2 linked regions of the Caenorhabditis elegans genome follow. The protein of the gene in region 2 interacts with the protein of the main gene of each other region in a pairwise test. Each region holds a gene or a part of one and is shown on either strand. Other genes may lie near its edges.

What was found.
Region 1: the proteins of smcl-1 (region 2) and dpff-1 interact in a two-hybrid assay, tested with the Caenorhabditis elegans proteins (one large-scale study listed by BioGRID).

What each region holds. Positions count from the first base shown.
Region 1 is NC_003281.10:5,904,327-5,908,256, forward strand, and holds the start of dpff-1 (Zinc finger protein dpff-1), read right to left. Parts: upstream 1,797-3,930; 5' UTR 1,790-1,796; coding exon 1,707-1,789; intron 1,581-1,706; coding exon 1,327-1,580; intron 1,289-1,326; coding exon of another isoform or gene 1,277-1,288; coding exon 1,071-1,276; intron 1,022-1,070; coding exon 919-1,021; intron 127-918; coding exon 37-126; intron 1-36. Other genes in the region: ER lumen protein-retaining receptor erd-2.2, read left to right, coding at 2,732-2,923, 2,968-3,210, 3,658-3,864. UniProt on the Caenorhabditis elegans protein: Probable transcription factor, involved in meiosis and stress protection.
Region 2 is NC_003284.9:11,691,764-11,695,693, forward strand, and holds the start of smcl-1 (Structural maintenance of chromosomes-like protein 1), read left to right. Parts: upstream 1-1,700; 5' UTR 1,701-1,702; coding exon 1,703-1,900; intron 1,901-1,944; coding exon 1,945-2,433; intron 2,434-2,488; exon of another isoform or gene 2,489-2,514; coding exon 2,515-2,752; intron 2,753-2,800; coding exon 2,801-2,859; intron 2,860-2,892; exon of another isoform or gene 2,893-2,907; coding exon 2,908-3,111; intron 3,112-3,199; coding exon 3,200-3,520; intron 3,521-3,724; coding exon 3,725-3,829; 3' UTR 3,830-3,930. Other genes in the region: C44C10.5 (DUF4456 domain-containing protein), read left to right, coding at 1-92, 146-204, 249-449, 547-693.

The sequences.
Region 1 (3,930 bases), on a different chromosome or scaffold from region 2:
TACATTTGAAAATAGCTTGGAATGCAAAAAACTTACACTTAACCAGTGGTTGACTAGACTTTTGATCATGAAGATACGACTGATGATAGCTTAAACCCGCGAGGCTTTTGTATTTCGCGCTGCATTCTGAAAATTATCAAAAATTTTAAATTACAAACGAAAGGACTTGGGAAATATGCGGTTTGAAAAGAGTATTTTCAAATCACAGATTTCCCATTATGCCACATCATATAAGCTTCCAGGAACACTCAGTACATGCTAAATTTAGTGCCTATATTTCTACAAACTTCCTCTCGATAGACCCCGTGTCCCGGGTGGGAGAGATGTATTTTTGATCAGTTGAGCGGTTGCCGCAGGATTTTTTACTGAGGTCCCTCTCGCCCAGGTTTCTTTTACAGAGGGATAAAATACTAGGAGGGATATAAGAATGGGATATTCAGGATACATATTGGCTTATGACTTAGTGCAAATTGATAACGAGAGGAAGGAAGCTAATACATTTGATAAGATCCACAATTATGTGAAGAAGTACTACAAATCACACCACTAATTATGAAACTAATATTAAAAAAAGATCATACATAATCTTCCAAAATTTATTTTTTAGACCAAATTTCCCATTTTTTTGATTTAATTTTCCTTGGATCTCTGGAGAAACATGCATAATTAAAAAAAAAACTAAAGCATGCAAAAACATAAATAATCTCGTGCAATTTCCAAGCATCCTAATTTTTTGAAAAATCTCGAAACCGAATGAATCAAGATACGAAAAATTAAACTAAAAATCATGATGATAGTGTTCCCGGTAACTGACATGCTGTGGGCGATGGGGGAGGCAAATAAGACTAAAAAGGACAAGAAGAATGGTGTGTTCTCCTGGGCGAGAGGGCTTCGCTAATCCGCCGTACAACCACTCACTGTCACATGGATACGTCTTCTCCTCCGGTTCTTCATATTTTGTTTCCTTCACTATGGAACGAGATGGGGTCAATCGAGAGACAGAGGAACGAGTTGTTGGTACCTAAACAGTCAGAATAAAATTATTTAAACAATTGAATAAATAAAGAAACCTTTTTACGTGACGAAGTTGCTTTCTGAACAGGCCCCAAGTTGCCTTTACGGCGTTTACGCGACGACCAATCATCTTCATCGGAGCCAAACTCGTCTGGAGAGAGCTCATCGTCAAGAACGTAGTCATCACGATATTCCTCTTTGATCTGTGTTTGGCGGGATGGTCTGATGGTAGTTGAGTCGTTCGAACTATCAGAAACACTTTCTGCAAATCGAACTACAAAAATTAGGTTGAATCGTTCTGATGCTTCTCACCAGTTGTTGGTCCGACAACTTGTGGAGTGAGATGATCAATTGCAACCTGAATAGACGGATTCTCACGCAAAAACATGCTCATCTCAACAGCATCAGATGGTGGCTGTGACTTGCTCTTCTTCCATCTCTCGGTTGCGAATTGAACAACAGTATTTGGATCATTTGATGGATACATGTGATCCACGTTGCGGGTTGTGAAGCGAGACTCTCGCTGGGCCGTAGCCGTTTGATGTTCATAGTATGGGAACCGCAGTCTGCAACTTTTAGGGGCTTAGTACAACCAAAAAATAATTCCTAAATGCTCTAAAGATTTATCATTACTTAGATTATTCAGATTTCAAATGGATCTTTTTTAAGTAGCCGAAACATCAATAACTAACCGTTTTTTACGATCCTCCATTTGCCGGGAATTCCATTTAATGCAGTTCCGCATCAGGTCCATATATCCGTTTTCCGAGATCATTGTCTGTAAGATTAGCTGTCTTGGATTATTTTTAAACATTTTGATAGCTCAAGAAATCGGGCGCCCGGTGTGAACAAACAAAAAAAACAAGAGAATGAATGAACACTGATCGATAAATTGGACAGCTGCCGATGTACGCAAACACCAACACGCGAAATTGCGTATTGTCCAGCGTGGACTCGTTGGCTGATGGACCTTTTGGCTCGAGTTTTCTTCTTCGTTTCCGGCCTAAAACGTTTCGTTTTTCAATTAAACAGTTTAAATTTTTTGCGATAATTGATTAATATGTAGCTACGCATTATGTGAATACCAAAAAATGGTTGAAAAGTTCATGTAGGCCTACAATTTTAGAAAATCTAGGTCTTTCGAAAACAAAAAAAAAACATTCGGTATTCAGAACGTTCGAACAAAATGCTCTATTCAAACATTCTAGTTTTCATAGAATATTTCCATGCATTTTACCTAGCGAATCGAAATGTTTGTTTTTTTGTTGAATGCAGGGTTATGTGTTTTTTAACTGTAAATACACGTAGTTTTTGCATTCAATGTTTAAAAATTTTGTCTTTATGTTTTAAGTTCCATTTTTTAGTTTTTTTCAGTAAACCTTTTTAGCTTCGTTGCGTTGTATTTGCATTTTTCAAAATTCCCACGTGGCACATTCAGTGCTGGCTTTTATTGCACTCTTTTTTGTCTGCGAAAGGAAAACTCTAAACCATTTCTGTTCGTTCTCCGGAACTTTACCGTCCATATAATATAATTTTCTCTGTTCCCTATCACTCTATCCGTTATCTTTTGATAAACAACGTTGACCTCGATAATTGAAAACATACCCATTCACTGGAATGAATAGGTGTTTTCCAATTCATTTCATATTTGCGTTTTCTTTTCTTTACCTGATGTATGTATCTAAATTCTCAAAGTATGATAATTTTTAGGGTCATCATGAACATCTTCCGTATATCGGCAGATATGTCGCACTTGCTTGCGATTATCATCCTTCTGCTCAAAATCTGGAAGAGCAGATCGTGCTCCGGAATCTCTGCGCGGTCGCAGATTCTGTTCGCTCTCGTGTTCACTGCTCGATACTTGGATCTTTTCTCCACATACATTTCTTTGTATAACACTACAATGAAGGTAACTTTCTGTCCGTAACAATTATAAATACAATCAAATTTCAGATCACCTTCCTCGCCGCTACGTACGCCACAGTGTATCTGATGTTCTTCAAATTCCGCTCAACTTACATGCGCGAGTCGGATACCTTCCGTGTCGAGCTTCTCATCGTCCCAGCTGCGATCCTCGCTCTTCTCATCAATCACGATTTCGCTCCATTTGAGTTGCTCTGGACTTTTTCGATCTATTTGGAGGCTGTGGCCATTCTTCCACAACTCTTCCTTCTCCAGTCTACCGGTTCCGCTGAGGTAAATCTGGAAAATAATAAATAATACAATAAATGCGCCAAATTTGACTTCAGCGTGCAAAATTTTCCCTCTCAATTCGACATGCCGTAAAAAAGTGTAAAATCCAGAGATGGCAAAATTGGAGATAGTACAAGAAAATTGTTGTGCTTAGAAATTGTCGTTTCTCCCGATTCCAACCGTTTTCCCCGTATTCCGAATTTCGCGCACATCTCCGCTGTAGTCCAAATTGATTCGTCAGCCTTTTAACTTTGCTAATATAACAACCTGATGAAATTTGACTGAAAGTTAATCCATTCTTTTCATAAGTTTTACTGTGTTGTTTGCAAACACTCGACATCTTTTTTTCTTAATTTCTTTTGGATTAGACATTTTGGTGTAGAGACGCAGACACCAGGCCACAAATTGAGCCTTCTATCTCTCTCCCATATTCATCGTTTCTTCTTCCAGGTCATCACTGCTCACTACTTGTTCGCTCTTGGCTCCTACCGCGCTCTCTACATTTTCAACTGGATTTACCGCTACTACACCGAGGACTATTTCGATCCAATTGTCGTTGTTGCCGGAATTGTACAAACTGTTCTCTACGCCGATTTCTTCTATCTTTACGTCACCCGTGTCGTCCAAACCCGTAAGGGTATGGAGCTCCCAATCTAAACGAACGATTCCCATCCTTTTTGACGTTTTTTCCTACGAGGTTATATTAATCTTTACGGAGTTGGC
Region 2 (3,930 bases):
AGAAAATCGACTCGTCCAACAACGTGCACAACGTCGAAAAATCATTGCAAATGTCACTTTACAGGATCTTGATATTCCTGCCAAAGAAGCAGGTATGTGACTCTGAATACAGTTTCAAATAGCATGGATTTACTTCAATATTTAGGTACGTTTTCCTACGACGTCAAACCGGATTATTCCTCCTTACCAGATGAGTTGAAGAAGGTAAGAAAATTTGCCGCCATTTGAAGAAAATTATTCAATTTCAGGAAAGCAACGATGCTGAAACAGTTAAGATGCATCTGCGTACTTTGGAGGAAACGATCCAGGCAACTCGTAACGAATGGGTTGCTGTCAATGGAGCAGAGTATCCGGATATGAGTAATATTTTAATAAGATTCCACGAGACGGACAGCTTTATTAACATAGCAAAGTTACGCACAACTGAGCTAGAAGCCGAAATTGAACAGGTTTATTTAATGTTTTTTTCTGTTTAAATTTTTATGAATTTCTCTGTACCTGTGTATAGAATTACCTTGGTTTTTTGAAGACATTGTTTCATTTCAGGTCAAAGCCAGTCGCCGTACTCATTTCAATCAACGCCTTGCTGCAGTATCATCGTCTGTGAGCAGAATCTATAGAGAGATTTCTGAGGATCCGGATTCCACCGTTTCACTTGCGTCATCCAATGAGGATGAACCGTATGAATGTTGATCTGTTTGTCGGAGGAATAAATGAAGATCTCGAGCCAACTCGCTTCCACCGCGGCGGATCAAGAGGAATCGTTGCTAATCTGGCTCTTGTTCTTGCACTTCACGAGCAAACGGCTTATTTGAAAAATGTGCAAACGCCTTCACCACTCCTCGTGGTTGATGACATTGACAAAAGAATGTCGGAAACGACAAGCAATAAGGTTGGTCAAAAAACAGAAGCTACGGCTCATCTAAAGATAAATTCACTGTTTAATTAAACAAATTTCAGGTCTGTTCGTATCTCACCGGCCAGGACAATACTCAATACATTGTAACCACCCACAACGACAGTTACTTCACTAAACACACCACAACTTTCAGCATGCCAGATATCTAATGTCTTTTTTTACGTGTATCTATTACAATGTTGATACATTTACAAAATATAAAGCCTGACGAAAATTCCTTCACGAACATTCCCGACCATACTCGTCTTTCTTAAATCCGAAGTCCCAAGCTATTTCAATGTGATTAGTATAATAAAGGCAGTTTACCACACTTTCGTTCTTTTTTAATATTCATAATAATAATACTTTTTTGTTATTGTTTGCTAGATAATACTAAAGACTATAGATATAAATATTGTCGGTTCAATTCCATTTCTGAGACGGAGAGCATGAAGTACATTTTCTGATTTAAATACATACTCGGCAAATCATTTCTTTCCCGTTCAACTGCTTTTTACACGATTTTGGCCATTTCTACAACAGTGTCGATAGTTTTTGTTTTGCAGATAGACGCAGAGAAAACCAGCACCCATACGAATGCAGGGTTTCTCCCTCGCTGCACTTGTGGCCGTGGCCTAAGAATACAAGACGTGCTCATCATTGTCTGCTATTTTTTTTGAATTAACTATTTGCGTTTGTTTTTTTTTGTCTTTTTTGTCTTCAATTTTCTTGTTTTAAAAATGTTATTTATCACAATTTGATGTTGATTCTGACCGCTTTTTTTAAATTTGTTTAATTGCAGACATGACGTACCCGCAGCAACGACTACTAACAGTTGACATTCTAAATTTCAAATGTTACCAACACCACAAAAGCTTCGGGCCATTTGACCATGTGACAACTTTTATTGGAATGAATGGGTGTGGAAAATCGATTATGATAGAAGCTATTGCCTTTGTATTTGGCGAAGACTTACCTGATCCCAAAAATCCGCACAACGAGGTTAGCATAACATTATGAAAATCGAGAAAAAAATTATTTTACAGCACCTATTCTATGACTACAACATTCGATGCGTCGTGAGTTTGAAGTTCGAAATGCCAGATGGATCAACGAAAAGATTTACGAGAATTGGACTGAAAACTACATACACCTACATGATCTTCAATAAATACGTCACAGAAGAAGAATATTTATTGGAACTTGGAAAAATGAATTTCAGATTTGCTGGTCAAAATATATCTGTCTACAACAAAACAACACTAAAAGTCACCCGCAAAAGTGCAGAAGAACTTGGAGCATTTTTCGACATAGTTTCCAACTCCATTGAGTTCAAACCAGAATACGATGAGCTAAAAGCGAAATTGAATTTTGCGGAGAGTACTGTTCTCCGGTGGGCAAAAATGATTGATAGCATTGAACTAGAAAAAGAAAAGTTTATCACCTTGACGCTTTACAAGCTGTATTTATGTGATAAAGAAATCCAGGAAACCAAGGAGAAGTTTGTCGCAGAGCAGTTAAAAGTGAACGCAAAGGTTTGTTTTTTGTTAATTTATAAAGTAGAAGTGTACAAATAAAATTGTGAAAAAAACCTTCAATGCTTTTATTTTTTCCAGAATGCAAAGATGCCATTAAGAATTTCAAGATACTCAGAAGCAATTCCGAAACAAACTCCATCACCAAACTTTAAAAACAATGCGATTGTTGTCCGACCAAAGACTCACAATCATTACGACAATTTGATTACGGTGGACAAGCTGAACAGTTATTTGAATGAAAAAGTGACAGAACGTCGGGAGCTTCTTCAATTTGCTGTGAATCATCCAAACATGAACATTCGGTTTTCTGAAGAAGGTGAACATGTTTGTTATTAACTATTTTTTATTTATCTATCGTTTTCAGGCCCAAATATCTATGCAAGAGAAATTGACTACACTGAATTGCCAGAGTACTATAAGAAGGTTTGTAATGCATTGAAATTTAAAATATATTACCCAATGAGTTTGCAGGAAAGTGACGATATTATAGCTACTAGCTATAAACGCTCTATGCTTGAAAAAGAAATCAAAAAAATTCGTCAATGTTGGTTGGACGAGAATAATATCAAGGATGACGCAAATATCGATAACATAAACATGAGAATCAAGGAAGCAACTACGAAACATACATTGGCTCTGAACATTGAATCAGAGGCACGTTTAAATTGGGAAAAAGTGAGTGTAAAAATCTACAAGACCATATCAAAACTTTAAGTGGCATGGCTACTGAAGTACAATACCACATTATTTTGTAAATTTTCAGCTGAGAGTCATGCGAAGTGCACGTTTCAACAACTTTATGGCACCTTTACAAACGTCACTGAGCAGAATTTACGCTGAAATCGCGCAGGACGAGGATTCTCTCGCTTTTCTTAGACCATTGGACGAGGAAGAGCCCTACTTGGCAATTGACGCATTTGTGAAGGAACGCCACAGTGAGCACATTTCAACTCGAACGTTTCACGGTGGGTCCAGAATGATTGTTGATTTGGCTCTCATTTTTGCTATCCATGAGTGGAAACCTTCGCCACTTGTTGTCATCGACGATATCGACAGGAATTTGTACCATGAAGCAAGTAAAAAGGTTAGTACATATCTCGTTCAATCATTTATCAATATACATCTGAATGCAAAAAAAAACAACTGTATTTCGTTCAGTGCAATGTATTCTCAAAGTTTTGTCAAGCTGAAAAAATAAACGGAAACTTGAGACTGATTTTTAAAAAGTTGTGTCGTCGGCTGTAACAGTTTCTTATCAAATTGCCTAAAGTTAACGTGGTGCTTTCAGATTGAGCCATACCTCTCACGTCAGAAGCAAACCCAATTCATTGTGACAACAAAAGAGGACAGTTACTTTACAGAAGTCACCAAAACGATCACTCTCGAAAACTAATGTATAATTTGTATTTTGAAACATTTTGTTACTGGTTTTGTTACTGGTATGTCTCACACGATCTTCAATTTTTCTTCATTTATTTCTTGCGCATTCTCAAA